Linked DNA regions of Rattus norvegicus. The protein of the gene in region 1 interacts with the protein of each later gene in a biochemical or structural test. Links are inferred from orthologs where the notes say so. Each region holds a gene or a part of one and is shown on either strand. Other genes may lie near its edges.

What was found. The genes of interacting proteins can lie anywhere in the genome.
Region 2: the proteins of Tmed10 (region 1) and Copg1 form a complex in vitro, tested with the Homo sapiens proteins (2 studies listed by BioGRID). The link is inferred for Rattus norvegicus from reciprocal best matches to the Homo sapiens genes TMED10 and COPG1.

The regions. Positions count from the first base shown.
Region 1 is NC_086024.1:110,754,811-110,759,245, forward strand, and holds the start of Tmed10 (transmembrane emp24 domain-containing protein 10 precursor), read right to left. Parts: upstream 2,934-4,435; coding exon 2,709-2,933; intron 1-2,708. UniProt on the Homo sapiens protein: Cargo receptor involved in protein vesicular trafficking and quality control in the endoplasmic reticulum (ER) and Golgi.
Region 2 is NC_086022.1:121,937,322-121,940,967, reverse strand, and holds part of Copg1 (coatomer subunit gamma-1), read right to left. Parts: intron 1,806-3,646; coding exon 1,562-1,805; intron 598-1,561; coding exon 522-597; intron 1-521. UniProt on the Homo sapiens protein: The coatomer is a cytosolic protein complex that binds to dilysine motifs and reversibly associates with Golgi non-clathrin-coated vesicles, which further mediate biosynthetic protein transport from the ER, via the Golgi up to the trans Golgi network.

The DNA of each region.
Region 1 (4,435 bases):
AACCCTTCTCCCTCAGTCTCCTCAGGATTACAGACACACACAACCATACCTAACTCACCGTTATTTCTGAAAGGGTGTTTTATATGGCTATAAAACGCAGTAGTCATGTTCCTATTTTTTTTAAGAGATTCAAGCTGACATCAGCTAGACTGAAATACTAATACTGGGGGTTTCCTGGAATTGAGACAATTTAACCAAAAATAATAAAAGGAAAAGGATGAAGATTAAACAAGTATGGATCCTAAATAGTTGCAAACTCCGGGTAACATGCAAATGGATACATTCTTTATAAGAATGAAAATAAAACACTGCCCAAAGCAACCTGTGTTGGTGATAAAACTCAGGACTTTGACATCATAATTTTTACTTTTTATTTCACTTGAAAAACCAGATGGGACAAAAGGGCCCATGTGTTTGCAAGGCAAGTTTCATCATGAGCGAGAGAGTACAATCCCTGCACGTGCAAGGCTGAGGTAGAAGGATAGAGGGTTCCAGGCCAACCCGGGCTTCCAGTGAGGCCTCAAACCAAACAAAGAGTGGAGGGAGTGCTGCTCCCTCCACGTTCACATCTCCACCATGCCAGTGACACCACACTAACACAGCTGCTTCCGGTCTTCTTTTCTTTTTAAGTATCCGGCTCAATTCATTCCTAGGTGTTATCTACTTGGCTTTTGGGTTTAAGATTCCAGTAGTCCAATTAAGATGGTTAGGGGTGAGACACAGCAGACAAAGGGAGGATAACTGAGTGTGGGTGAAATACTAGTGAGTTGAAGCACAAACTCCTGCTGGTGATACCCCTTTGCTAGGCGCTGGCCCATGCCCAGATATTCACTACTGGAAGGCTGGACCATGCATGGTTCCTGCTTGCTGAATGCTTACTAGAAGCAAGGCGACATATGAACACTCTAGAAAATATGAACAGGAAAACAATTCCTACCCTTAGAAAGGCTACTGATAGGGAGAATAAGAATAAGCAGAGACAGTTACAGAGAGTACTGCTCAGGGGACTCCATTTGGAACACAAATTGGAAACTAACAACATATGAAGCTTCAAGACAGATCTCATGAGGAGGAGCACGACAGCACGTGTGTCAGACAGGCAGCAGTGAGCCCAGGAAGGGTTTTCAAACACAGGACTCAAGGAGAGACAGCAAGGCTGAAGAGCTCAGCTTCTTGGATTGTAGGCACCACTCCTCTTCTACTCTGGGGCCAGCATTATCAAACCCCAAACATTGTATCTGTGTCTTTAAAATGTACCACCACCACTTTCCTGGTTGACAGTTCAATATTTAGAGGGATAATTAAAAAGATGGCACACGGGGTTGGGGATTTGGCTCAGTGGTAGAGTGCTTGCCTAGCAAGCGCAAGGCCCTGGGTTCGGTCCCCAGCTCCGGAAAAAAAAAAAAAGATGGCACACGAAACAATAGCCCTGAAAAATCAGAGCTGTCCGGTTTTTCCTCTCCTAAATAAAGTTTGTAACACTATCACTACCATGGCCCAATACTTTAAATAGAAACAATATGACTAAAGCTTGTTAAAACAAAACTGTTCCTGGCTGGAGAGATGCTCTGAGGTTTAGATCACTTACTGCACTTTCAGAAGACCCAACTTGGGTTCCCAGCACGCATATGGTGGCTCATAACTATCTTAAATGTCAGTTCTAGGAAATCTAATGCCCTGTTCTGGCCTCCATGGGCTCTAGGCACCCACAAGGTACACGTACAAACATGCAGCCAAAACGCTTATATGCATAAAACAAAATAAATAATTAAAAAAGAAACCTTAAGTAAACTGTATTTGGCTTAAGAATGTGAAGTTTTCCTTCTGTTGGAAAAAAACAAAAAATTTACTAGTGCTTTTTGTGAATGAACACAATTATGCAGTACTCAACCAACTCAACTATTAACAACTCAAAAATCTGGCCAAGCAAAACTCCACTGAAAACCAGAACCATACGGCATTAAGTAAAGTAGCTGTCAGCATACATGGATCCAGATGACCCTGGTGTAGCTAACTGATGGGACTAGAGACTATGACCATCTTGTCTGATCAATAATAAATCCCAGGAATCACAAAGGAAGGTTTTAGCACGTTTCCATCCAATTCCAACTCCAACGATTGTTCAGTCATCTACTTGAGCCTCAGTTTCTGTGTTTATATAAATGAGGTCAATGGTACCCACGTGTTCCATAAGGTAGTGTTTGAACTAAACGCACAACCTTATGTGGCACAGGAAGTGACACTTCAGATGCTTAATAAATAACACGTTTTATTAGTCACGGACAACGTTATTGTCTGCTTTATCTGTAGGTGTTGAGGTGTCTTATGATGTCAAACCCCACTGATGCTCTACACATTTCTCAGAAAAATCACGTTATAGCACGATTTTCGAGACTTCACAGACACAAAACCCTGATGACAGCCCGAAGTCGAAAGAGCCCTAGGTCTCTAGACGCTAGGTTCGCCAATGCCTCTCTGCCCCTCCGCCCCTCCAAGGGCCCCGACTTCAGCGCGCAGCCCCGCCCCGCGAACCCCAACGCGCCGGGTGAAGGGGCGGTCCCCACCGCGCGTACTTAGCGTTCAGGGATGGGGTTGGGGGGAGGCCAGGCCAAGCCCCAGCCTCCGCCCGCCGGCCTCCCCCAACCTCAGCCTCCCCTGGACGACGCCTGCCCTCTTGCCACCCGCCACCGCGCCGCCCGGGGCCGCACCTTGAGGTGGGTGCGCAGGCCGCCAGCGCCCCCAGACTGGTCGGTGATCTCGTACGCGCCCGTAACCAGCAAGTCTTTGTGGATCTCCTCGCGGAGACACTTCCGAGAGTTCACGGGTAGATGGAAGGAGATGCCGAGGACCGAGCTGGGGCCGAGAAGGAACAGAAAGAGCAAGGCGGATAGGAGAGGGCCAGGCCAGGATAGTGGGCCAGACAAACCAGACATGGTGCCGGAGCCTCGTTCACCACCCGGGGCCTCTAGCGCGCCGGAACCGGGGAAACCCACGTGACTCGCCTCTAACCTGGCGAGGCCGTCCGCGCCATTTTGGAGATTGGCTAACAGAAAAGGAATGTAAAATAAGTTTTAAAAAGAAGAACACATTTGATAGTATGTCATAACCACGGGTTTCAGGGGCTATAGAGGAGTTCCCAGGAGTTTTTCGTACAAGTTTTATTTTTTGTTGTGGTAAAAGACTTAGGAGCAAACCATTATAAGTATGGGCAGCCCCGGAAGTAATTGTTTTAAGCCCCCGGAAGTGGTTCATGCGAGTTTTTAAAATCGGTGACACCATAGCAACCAGGCCCCAATAAGAAACAGCCACAAGGCCTTTCTCTGAGCCCGCCCACCGGCTGCTTAGACTTCGGGTCAAGGCACAAAATGAATTTTGGTGTCCTGACGCTTACTCTGATAGATGTTGGGACAATGAAGCACTGAAAAGGAAAAACACAAAAGAAAATTTTAATTTGGCTTTTAGTGAGTGTGGGCCACTAACTCAGAGAAGATTGTGTAGAGGTCAACAGGTGAATGTGAATTGGCAGGTATCCAGTTAATGCCTCTGAACCGAGTGTTTGGCCTGATGCAAGTTTGGTGTTCACAATGTATTTATTTGTTTGTTTGTTTCTTTAACATCAATAGTCTTCTGAGATAAGCTGCACTCCAACCAACATTTAAATTTTTGTTTTGGTCCAGTCAGAGATGAGCATAAAATATTATTTTACCAGATGAGCATTGTCAAGGGGAGGAAACAGCATGTTTCCAAAGCATGTTCTGTACCTCCAATAAGTTTTTTGTTGTTGTTGTTGGTTTGGTTTGATTTCTCGAGACAGGGTTTCTTTGTGTAGCCCTCACTCTCCTAGAACTCTATAGACCAGGCTGGCCTCGAACTCACATAGATCCACCTGCCTCTGCCTTCTCTGCTGGGTTTAAAGACATGCACCACTGCCCTGCTCTTTTGTAGTAAACTGATTTATATAGGACTCGTCCATTCACTCTTGATTCCCTATAGAGACACTACACTCAGTGTGTCTAGTGTATTTAATGAAGTACATCCTGTGTGTTCAACAAACAGCACCAAGCAATGGGGATACACACCTTTAATCCCACCAGGGCTACACAGAGAAACCCTGTCTTGAAAATCCAAAAAGTAAACAAACACACAGGCAAAATTCATATCCATAAAATAAATAAATCAATAGACAACAATCTTATGCTAAATCAGGGATAAATAATCAAACTAGTCCTCAATAAAATGATTACTATATAGTATTTGCCGATGTAAAAGATACTTAGTGCCTGGCATAGTGGCACACACCTTTAATCCCAGCACTTGGGAAGCAGAGACACTCGTATCTCCTTGAATGGAAGCCAGCCTAGTCTACATGTTGGATTCCAGGACAGCCAGAGCTACATACATAGTGAGGCTGTGTCTCAGAACCAGAACAAAAGTT
Region 2 (3,646 bases), on another chromosome or scaffold:
TCAGAGGGACCGTGCAGGACTGCATGGGGATGGCAGGGCAATGCAGAGCTCTTAAAGCTCAGTGCAAGGGTGATGGGTCTTGAATGACAGTATAAAACACAAGGGCTGACGCAGTTCAGCGGTAGACAGCTCCCTGGTAAAGATCTCACTCAGCACCATAAGGCAAACCAAACCACAAAATACAGAGGGACCCTTGAGCTCAGAGGAGATAACTTCTGGACTCAGCAGGTACTACGCACCACACAGTACACAAATACACATGCAGGCACCACACCCACACAAATAAGATACACGTAATTAAATCTTTGTTGGATGTGGTGGCTCACACCTTTGATTCCAGCATTTGGGAGTCAGAGGTAGGTGGAACTCTGTGAGTCTGAGGCCATCATGGTCTACATAGCAAGTTCCAGAAGGCCAGGGCGATATAGAGAAATCCTGCCTCAATGAATACATTTGAATAAAAGCTGGACTGGACCCAGGGGAGCGCTGCTACACACTGGGGCGTCTGGGCTGACACTCACCTCTTCAGCAACACCAAGATGCTGGGCAGCATCTCTTCGTTCTGGGCTCCAAACTTGGCCAGAGCACTCACTGCACCTAGTTCCAAGGTAAAGATGCCTCACCCGCCGCCCTCGGCCGCCCGCCAGAGTGCTGAGGGCGCCCACCAGTGCTCGGGGTGGGAACCATGCAGAAGTGGGTGGCACCGCTAATACAATCACAGAGCAGATTCTGTGCAACTCTAGTGGATCTTGGTGCTACCCGGGCCTCACGTTCCTCTTCCAGTCACTGGAGAAAGGGGTAACACACTAGCGGCTCCTGTTCTAAGGCACTAGGGGCTACTTTCTAATGATTAAGGCTAAAAAACGTGATCAACGCTGTCAGCTACTTTCTTTTTTTTTTTGGTTCTTTTTTTCGGAGCTGGGGACCGAACCCAGGGCCTTGTGCTTCCTAGGCAAGCGCTCTACCACTGAGCTAAATCCCCAACCCCTGTCAGCTACTTCTGAGCAGCTCCATTTGTAGCTAAGCCTGAGAGTAAAACATGGGAGAGTCAACCATCACTTACTGATTAACTGCCAAAAGGAAAAAAAATTGCCTAGAAGGGGCATAGAAGGAAAAAGGAAAAATAGGATGAAATTAAAAACAAGATGGTAGACTGATAGATCACGGACTTATAAAAAAAGATTAACTTTGTGGTGTGTGTTCTCTCTCCAGTTTTTTAAAAAAGGGCCAGGAACAATGGTACTTAGGATCCCAGTACATAGAAGGCTGAAGTAGTAGGAGTTCAAGTGTGAGTCAGCTTGGCTATAGAAAGAACGAGACCCTATCTCATAAATCATAAAACAAAAAACAACTCTATGTACAAATATACAGTGAAATTTTTAAAAAGTAAATTGTAGAAAATCTTTTATCCAGTTGGCATCTAAACTCCTGACAATGTAAAGAACAGCTCATGAGGCCATGTCCCCAGGATGCTCGTCCTCCTGGGAGCTTCAGTCCCTTCACTGGCAAATTCACTGCAAAAAGAAACTAAGAGGCCAGGATCACCCCAGCTCGAACCTACCTGCCCGAACCTCTTCGTGCTCCAAGACCACACGGTTGTAGATAAAGCGAATGTACTTGGAGGGGTTGTTGGTCTTGGGCCCCTCCTGGCCCAACAGGTGCAGGATGCGGGTGGCCAGCACAGTGAACTCGCAGTCCTCGATGAACTCGCACAGGTGTGACAACCCTGTCTCCTTGCTCTCTGAGTTCTCCTCAATGATGCTGATGATGCAGTCCACGATGGCACGCTTGTACTCAAAGCCACCCTGGAGAGAAAGGTCTAGCTGAGCAGAGCTCATGGTCTCTGGAGACCAGCTGAGTTCCTGAATCTAGCCAGGCCCAGAGACAATGCTCCACGGACAGTCTGGAAGCAGGAGCCGAGGGTTCTGTCTCTTTGTAGGATAAAACCAACAGGCGTGGCCCGGCAGCTCACTGGGGCCTCCTAATGCTAAAAGGAGAAAGATTAATGCAAACATTTTAGATCCCATTTCTTCTGCCTAGTGCAAGGTACTTTACATAGTGAACTGTCATGTGCCTTGCAAGGTGGCTCTGGGGGAAGGGCTGCTCCTTAACCCTGGCCTCAGACCCAAGCATGTTTTATCTTCTAAGACCCCTTGTCCAGGGATGCTTGTCATTTGCCCTTGATAAGAGCAACAGCAATACAGTCCAAGAGTGCAAACGGCGCCTTTGGGGCCCGAAGAGTAAATCACATAAGTAATAACACTGTATCCCTGAAGACAGCTAAGCAAATCACTCCCAGGAACCTTCCCAAAGCTTATCTCACAGTGTAAAAGCACACGTGGTGGGAATGGCCAATGGAAGTCTCACCTAGCAGTCTGTCAACAAGGGTCTCCTTCTCCCCCAGGCTTCCCGCTCACTCCTGTGGGATGCTGTGTGTGCTCTTAGGTTCTACTGCTGTCTTCCATCACTCCTGTTTGCTATGTACCTAACAGACTCACTCACTCAAAACAGAGAGTCCGGTTATGTGAGATCTTTCTCCACACAGACACCGAGACATGAAAAACTAGGATGAGTGGCACGCAAGGCTGGGAAAACAATATGGTGGTTCCTCACAACACCAAGGACAGAATTATCTGATCCAGTAACTCCATTTCTGGGTTTCAGCAACAGAACAGATTGCAGAAGCACCCGTCACAAGACTGACAGCACCTTGGTCCCCAAATGTAGTCTGTTCTTTAAAGGAATATTTATTCAACATTGAAAAAGCAGAAAATTCTGATACAAGCTATGATACAGAGGAAACCTGAGGATATAAGCAAAATAGAGGAGACAGAAAAAGAAGAACACCTCGTGATTCTCCTCAACTGAGGTAACTGCAGCAGTCAGATCATAAACATAGAGTAGAACTGTGGGCGAGAGGCTGGAGAGGCAGATGGGGAGACAGTGTGTAACAGGTACAGAGTCTTTGCTAAAAACTAAAAGGTTGGGGAGGAGAGGCTTGGTGGTTAAAAGCTCTTGTTCTAAAGAGGACTCTGGTTTGATTCCCAACACCCACAGGCTGACTCACAACTATCCATAACTCCAGCTCCATGGGATCTCACACCCTCTGACCTCTGAGGGCACTAAGTATGCAAATGGTGCACATACACGCAGCCAAAACATTCACACATAAAATATAATAAACAAATCCAAATGAAAAACATTTAAGGGGGCTGGAGAGACAAGTTAGTGGTTAAGAGCACCAGCCATTCTTCCAGAGGACTGCAGTTCAGTCTCCAGCACCTCCATCTGGCAACTCACAGATGCCAGTGACTCTAGCTCCAGTGGACCTAACACCCACTCTACCCTGCACAGACACTGCACACACACACACACACACACACACACACACACACACGCGCGCGCACACATCAAAACACAAAATAAAAATTTTTTAAAAACTTAAAAAGTGAGGGCTGGAGAGATGGCTCAAGAGTTAAACATACAGACTGCTCTTCCAAAGGTCCTGAGTTCAATTCCCAGCAACCACATGGTGGCTCACAACCACCTGTAATGGGATCCGATGCCCTCTTCTGGTGTCTGAAGACAGCTACAGTGTACCAGTGTACTCACATACTTAAATAAAAAAAACCTCAAAAACCTTAAA